Alligator mississippiensis: one gene and its partner. The protein of the gene in region 1 purifies or fractionates together with the protein of each later gene. This does not show direct contact. Links are inferred from orthologs where the notes say so. Each region holds a gene or a part of one and is shown on either strand. Other genes may lie near its edges.

Region 1 (3,743 bases):
TACTACACTATGTAGTAGGGGTGCACCAATAAAAACTTTTTTGGCCGATACCATATTGGCCAATACTGATCCAATTGCTGATATGTAGTCCAGTAGCTTAGAGAGCAGCATCTGGCCGGTAAGTCTACTGGAGGGAAGAGGCATGGGGGAGGGAAGGAGTGTGGCAGCTTGAGGCCCCCACAGTGAGGGAGAGAATGGGACCAGGGCAGGCATTGGCCAGCTAGGGCAGGGTGGGGTGGGAGATTGTGCTGCAGGCAGCTCATCCAGGGGGCAAAGGGGGCTCCCCACCTTTGTGCACACCCCTGGGGGAATGCCACAAAGGGACACGTGTCCCCCAGATTTGAGCATGGGGCGAGGACAGGCTGTCCGCTGCAGGCTTGGGGCTGGGGCCTGCACCAACCTGTTCCTGATGGGGGTACTGGGCCGGGGCTGTGCTCGGGGTGGGCAGCGCTGGGAGGGGGGCTACAGCCACGCTAAAATTCACCATAGCCCCCCCCCCCCCCATAATAAAGCAAAGGATCTTTAATGCCTCTGTTCTTAAATCAAAAAATTGAAAGTAGTGCTCCACTTTGACCACACAGTTTTGGGTGTTATTCCTAATGTGAAAACCAGATTTAAGTAATATTTGACATATCAGACAAAGTGTAAACATCCAACATGACAGCTTTTCACAAGTTTAGCTGCTATTTAATTTTCAGAAAAAGCTGAAGGGTCCAGTGATTCATTCCCATTCACAAAAAATACCTTCTGGAGAAAATATAGTAGTTCTGGAATCATATCTTCGAGACTGTTTAAAGAAAAAAACAAAGCAAAAACAACTTACTTTTTCTGTTCTATTGCCACAAGAAGAAATTTTATACTAGTCATCTTTTCAATCACATGTAGAAGCCATCCAGTGACCCCACTCTCTTATTTACAAGAGACAGCAAGCAGCACAGCAGGCAATTTTGTTGCCATTAGAACCTTTCATTGGTGGTCAAGGAGCAAGTATTTAATGCAGGGGTGGACAACTATTTCAGGCAGAGGGCCGCTTAATGAGCTTTGGTGAGCTGTTGAGGACCACATGGATAGCCCTGGCCCCTGACAGTTGCCCTGCCCCCTGATCGCCACCTTGGGACCAGAAGTCCCACCCCCTAACCCTTGTCACTGGAAGTCCCTCCCATTGCTCCCCCACCCCCCATACTCCTTTTGGGAGGGGGTTGCCACCTTAGAACCAGAAAAAAAACCAAAGCATACACTAAAAGTCCAACACCTACTATAACATATTTTAATTTCATTACAAAAAATATTTTGGTTATGATTTGTTTGCATACTGTATATAGAGGTGACCGCACATATTTGTAGTCTTGTATATTGTGGGGGGGTGGTTGGGGATGTGCGTGTGCGGTAGGGGGGTTGTGACTGTGTGGGGGGCAATAGGGTACGTTGGGGGGTTGTGTATATGTGGACAGTTGTGGGGGCAGGGTGTGGGTGTGTGGCATTTGTGAAGTGCGAGGGAAGGTGGGGAGATATGGGACCCCCCCCCACGCTTCCTTTAGGGTGTGGCAGCAGCAGGCGGGGGCACTCATGCCGTCAGGGCGCAGCCTCCACTGGGCAGTCTCTATCCCCGGCACTCCCTGCCGCGCACATGCAGCCCCTGCACTCATACGGCATGGGAGGGAAGCCCCATGGGCCCAGCCCTAATGTCCATGAGGGTGGGAGCAAGGCACAATAGGATATGTTGTTTTTTTTGGGGGGGGGCAGGTATACACATGGGCACCTCACTCACATCCTCATAGGCGGAAGGGCTAGGCAGTGCACAACTTGTGGGTGGGCGCTGTGGGCTAAATGAAAGTGCTGGGCAGCCACAGGCTGTATTTTACTCGCCCCTAATTGAATGCATATTTACCTCAATACACTTTTCCCTTACTCCTGGTCTTTCTTGTGAAGTTTGAGCCCAACCCTGCAATATTTCTGTGCACGTTTTTCCAGATAAACTTAAACGTTACTACTGGCAAGAGCGGAGCCTCCATTTCCCACTGATTATCTGTTATCTGATTTAGCTGTTGAAGAGTTTAACCAATTAAGTGAACAAGGGACTAAAGAGCTGAGCCGTCAGGTATTAACTCACCATGTTGCTGGGAAGTTTACGTTAGGCTGCAAATGAAAATGAAAGTTGTCAGGTGACAACAAGATACCCAGGGCACGCCGAGGACGCTGGAGGCATTTATTTAACCAGGACGCTTGCACTACAGCACGGGTCCCCAAACCGGGTGACATCCCGCCGTAAAAGCGAGGCACCCACCCCCTCCCGCCCCCGCCCCCAGCAGGGCAGCAGCACGGGCCCCGGGGGCTCCCGCCGGCCCTGGGCCGCGCCGAGTCGAGCCCGGCTCCTCGAGGCGGCAGTGCACAGTCATCCCCCACCCCCCGCGCTAAGCCCGGGGCAGCCCCGCAGCCCCCGCCGAGCCTGGACACCCGCCCCCCTCGGGGGCCCGGACCCCACCCCGCCCCGCCCCCACCCCGCGGGCGCCGCCAGCACTCACCGCGGGGCTCCAGGGGCTGCGGGGGACCGGTCAGCCGACAGCACTCCACACCGGCTTCAGCCAAAGATGGCCGCCGCGCATGCGCGCTGGCTCTGCCCGGCCGGAACCGAAGAGGCGGGACCTGGATGTGACGTTGAGCCCCGCCCGGCCGCGGGCCGCAGGTAGAATCGCGCTCACAGCACCCCCCCGGCCGCGGCTGCCTCGGCCCAGCTTCCCGCCCCGACGCGGTCAACGCCTGGGAGCGTCTGTGCGCCCCGGCCTGCTCGGCTCGAGAGCGCAGGGTGGACGGCTACAGACATACTGTGAGCATAGGACCCCCTGGGGCTATTACACATTAGGAAACCCCCTAGGGGCTCCGGGTCCAAAATAGAGGACACGGGGTTGGGGGGGGGCAGTGACATGCCAGTGCCCTGCCCCTGCCCCTCACTCCCAAACCGCAGCCCCCTGCCCCCACCCCTTGCTGGTACCCCTCTCCTGACCCACAGCCCCTGGCACTGCCAGTGCCCTGCACATCCAACCCACAGTGACCCATCCCCCTCCCAGCCCTGCTGGTACCCCTCACTCTTGACCCGCAGACCCCTGCCCCCCCAGCCCTGCTGCCCAAGCAGCTCCTGTGTTGCATGCACACCGGCTCTCTCACACACCTCTTTCTCACTCTCTCTGGTTGCTGGAGCCCGCACTGGGAGTATGTGATCCCCAGCAGCCACTGGCACTGCCCACTGCTCCCAACCCCAAACAGCCACCCCAGGAGAGCAGAAAACCCTGACATTTGCTCTTAATTTAAAAACCCACCTGGATGCAGCATAGGGGTCCAAAAAAAAAGACATGTTCAGGAAAACCCGGATGTATAGCTTCTGTCATAACCTACGTTTAATAACTGCAGCCCAGTCCCAGCACTGCAAGTTGCAGGTTTCCTTACATCCCTGTGTATCTCCTCAGTGGAAATATGCAAGCTAGGCCTGGGCAGCACTGGCATAGGCATCTGCAGTTTCAAACCAGATCTTCTCAACCACTTCTTGGCCCACCTCAAACAGTTGGACTAAGTGCTTCCATCCCACTCGGGCTGTGATCATCAAGTATTCCTGATTTTCAGGATATAACTGCAAAGTGTGAGCCGCTACTACCAGCGATTGAGAGAACCTACCGCTCACCAAAAGGAAGAGGGCACCTCTCTCCTCTGGCGTCAATGGCACGATGCTTTCAAACCCTGCAAGCACATGT
Region 2 (3,743 bases), on another chromosome or scaffold:
GAACCGCTGCTGTAGAGGAATTTGAGTCTAAAACCACACATGCACTTTAAGTGTGCACAGGCACTTTAAGGAGCCTTGTGCTGGGGGTGCCCCTTGCTGCTGCCCGCATTGCCCATGCTAGTGGTCTAAAACCACACAGGCAATCCTCTGCCTCTTAAGTCAAAATATAATTCAGAACCAACTTTCTCATAAGAAACAATGTTATAAATGGGAGAGAGGATATTGGGCCTTGGTTCAGGAACCAATTTTCACCAAAAATACCCCAGAATTTTGTACTCGGATCAATTATAGATGAGTCATATAGCTACATTAATGTATTTATATTGTAAATAGCAATCATATCGATTTGGAAGGACTTTGGTGACTTTGCTGGACTTTTTGAAGGGCTCTTGGCTGCAGGTTTTCTGGAGTCTCGTCTGCTTTGTTAAAGAAAACATCCAAGGAGGTTTGGACAGATGTTCTCCAGGGAGACGGGCGATGCAGCGAAGTTGTTCCCTGGCGCCGTGTCGCATCGCATCAAGAGTTGTGAAGTCGAAACTGACGTCAGAAAGTTGAAGCAAGGTGTCCGTTTATGAACGCTGTAAGTGCAAAACGTAAGTGTGGACGTTACAGCAGAGGGTATTGAGCGCTCGGATTTGAGGGCGAGGGTCAAACTCCAAGCAGGGCATCCCAGTGGCAGCACTTCACCAAGGCGGAGAGGAGCGAATCTGAGGGTGGAAATGGATGTTGCCTTTGTGCTGCCCTACTTTTCTTTTATGGCCGCACAAAAGCCAAGCAAGTGGTCGTCTATGCCCTTCCTACCACCAATGGGGTTGTGATGAAGGTGGTATCTGCTCGTGCCACTCCAGTTGCAGACCCCTGTTTGCTTTCCAGCACTTGATAAGTGAGGACAGGGCATGTTCCAGGTCCCACCGCATGCTCCTAGGGCGTGAAGGGCCTGATCCTGGGTGGGAGGGCCTGTTTTCCCTCCGTGCTATGGGTGTTGCTTACAGATGCTCTTCTCCCCTGGGTGTTTTCCACCCCCAGAGCCTGGGTTTCCACTGGAGATGTGGCTGTAGCACCAGTAGGGATTTGGAAACTGGTCTGTGCTGGGCCCCAGGCCATGCTGCAGCCCTGCAGGGCCAGGTCCTGGGGTAGCAGTTCCACCTGGCGCCGCTAGAGGCCGCTCCCCCTCTCCACGGGGAGAATGGGCCGTTCCATTAGCTAGAGGCCGCTGCCCCTTCCTCCATGGGGAGAATGGGCTGCTCCCTTCCTCCATGGGGACAATGGGCAATTCCATTAGCTAGAGGCCGCTACCCCACTCCCCCCGCGCGTGGTTCGGCCCGTATGACACAGCACAATGGCCCCAAACGCCGCGGCGCGGGGCATGCCGGGCCGGCCTCGCCTCGAGTGGCAGCGCCGCGAACCAATGGGGGGCCGAGCCGCGCGGGGCGCGTCCAACAGGGCGGCGGCGAGGGCGGGCTTCCGGTGCGGGAGCCGGAAGAGCAGCGCAGCCGCCAGCTCTGAGGTGAAGGTGCCGGGCGGCTCCCCGCAACATGTCGTCGGGCGCGCTGTTCCCCAGCCTGGTGCCGGGCTCCCGCGGCTCGTCCAGCAAGTACCTGGTGGAGTTCCGCGCGGGGAAGATGTCGTTGAAGGGCAGCACCGTCACCCCGGACAAGCGGAAAGGCCTCGTCTACATCCAGCAGACCGACGACTCCCTCATCCACTTCTGCTGGAAGGACCGCACCTCCGGCAGCGTCGAAGACGTGGGCGCCCGGGGGGGGGGAAATAAATCAATAAAGTGACAAAACAGGCCCGAATAAGCCTCAAACGGGGCGGGGCTGCCACGGGGGGCACAAATAGGGGCGGGTCTTACCCCCCCGGGACAATTGTTTGTGGGCACACCAACATTTAGTTACCCCCCCCTCCCCCCCCAAATGCTTTTGCAGGACTTGATTATTTTCCCTGACGACTGCGAGTTCAAGCGGGTCCCGCAGTGCACGACCGGCCGCGTCTACGTGCTCAAGTTCAAGGCGGGCTCCAAGCGGCTCTTCTTCTGGATGCAGGTTTGCGCGGCGGCGCCGGCCACGATCGGGGCGGGGGAGGGGGGGGGGCCGGGCCTGTCTCGACGACCCCTTCCCTTTCTTCCAGGAGCCGAAGACGGACAAAGACGAAGAGCACTGCCGCAAAGTGAACGAGTACCTGAACAACCCCCCCATGCCCGGGGCGCTGGGCGGCAACGCGAGCGGGGGCCACGAGCTCTCGGCGCTGGGGGGTAAGGCCCGTTCTCCGCCCCTCGGGTTGGGAAGGTTTATTTTTAAGTACAAACTCGCAGCTTTCTAAGAGCAAACCCCTGGCGAGTTTGGAGGGGGGGGAGACGCGAGCGCCGCTGGACGTGCTGCCGCCCCGCTCGCTTGCGGGACGACGTCCGGAGTCCCGCCTCCGAAACCAAGCGGCGTTCGTCTCTTACGAGCGTCTTGAATTAGCAAACGCTTGCAAAACGCTGTTTTTTCCCCATGCGAAATGATGCCGGTTAACCTCCAGCTGTTGGAGCGAGTGGGGGGGGGCTGTGAAAACTGTGTGAATACATTGTTTCAGGCTGTTTTTGTTTTTAGGTGAGGGTGGCTTGCAAAGCCTTCTGGGAAACATGAGCCATAACCAGCTCATGCAGCTGATCGGACCAACGGGCTTAGGAGGACTTGGTAAAAAGCTTTCGTATCTTTACGCTTTCGTATCTTTACGCCGATGTGGTGCTTTCTCCTGCTGGGTTACGTCTTACCTGACGCTGAATATTTTCGCGTGACTTTGAATAGCACTTCCCTTGTGCGAGGCGGCAAGGTCCCGATGCTGTCGCTGCCTCAGAAACAGGACGAGGAGACGAGAAACGAAGCAGCCGCGAGCTGTGCTCGGCACGTGCTTCCCTGGGGATCGATGCACAAGGGAGCTTTGTTTCTGGTCCTTGCCCCACTGACTGTTTCACTAATTGTGTCCTGTAAGCGTTCAGCAGAGCCCAGCTTCCCCCTCCCAGGCGTATGCCCCGATCCCCTGGCTGTGGCACACTTTTTCTCTGACTGAACACTGAATTATTAATGCAAGATGGAAGCATTTGAACGGGAGGGATTGAGAGCGTGTTTGGCCCAGAATAGTTTAGGGCCTGAATAGGGCCCTCTCTCCTGGCAGGCCAGCGATGTAGGTTTGAATCCTCTTCTGTCAAGGATGGAGTTTAAACCCTGGTGAGCAGTTGAGTCCCTTGAGTTATGCGAGGTTAGAGGTGACTTTGGCATCTTCTCTGAGGGCCCAGAGGAGATCTCTGAGATTCCTTATTTCTTACATTGGTTCCTTATTTGACATTGGTCTCTTCTTTCCCTGGCCTTTGTTTTTAGTGTAGAATAGCTTGGGTTGAAGCACGGTGCTCGTGTCCCTCAGTGTCAGGGCCTGATGTGCTAATTAACTTCCTGCGGGGAGAGGCAAGGGGCTTCTGCAGGTGGTGAGCATCTGGTTTTGGCATGGCTCTCAGCCCCTGCTAGCATAAGGACTGCCAGCCTGAAGTGTGGGATTTTGTGCTCTCGTATCTGGTTTGCACATCTCCCTCGGGGTACTTCTTCACTGCCACCCTTACCTGAACTGCCCAGCTGAGGTGGTCCCAGTGTAGTGAAAAGTGGTGCTGGCCTTGTTAGTTTTACTTTGTTGCTGTGGGATCAGTGTGATCAGGGACCAGGGGAGGTATAGGGCATGGTCTATTACTGCTGGGTGCATTCTGCACA

Evidence for each region.
Region 2: the proteins of PSMA4 (region 1) and ADRM1 fractionate together in Homo sapiens (co-fractionation; 3 studies listed by BioGRID, with this or other methods). This does not show direct contact. The link is inferred for Alligator mississippiensis from reciprocal best matches to the Homo sapiens genes PSMA4 and ADRM1.

What each region holds. Positions count from the first base shown.
Region 1 is NC_081834.1:30,788,658-30,792,400, forward strand, and holds the start of PSMA4 (proteasome subunit alpha type-4), read right to left. Parts: upstream 2,673-3,743; 5' UTR 2,523-2,672; intron 2,137-2,522; 5' UTR 2,114-2,136; coding exon 2,111-2,113; intron 788-2,110; coding exon 745-787; intron 1-744. Other genes in the region: HYKK (hydroxylysine kinase), read right to left, coding at 3,476-3,743. UniProt on the Homo sapiens protein: Component of the 20S core proteasome complex involved in the proteolytic degradation of most intracellular proteins. This complex plays numerous essential roles within the cell by associating with different regulatory particles.
Region 2 is NC_081832.1:5,778,434-5,782,176, reverse strand, and holds the start of ADRM1 (proteasomal ubiquitin receptor ADRM1), read left to right. Parts: upstream 1-1,470; 5' UTR 1,471-1,535; coding exon 1,536-1,745; intron 1,746-1,928; coding exon 1,929-2,045; intron 2,046-2,130; coding exon 2,131-2,254; intron 2,255-2,594; coding exon 2,595-2,681; intron 2,682-3,743. UniProt on the Homo sapiens protein: Component of the 26S proteasome, a multiprotein complex involved in the ATP-dependent degradation of ubiquitinated proteins.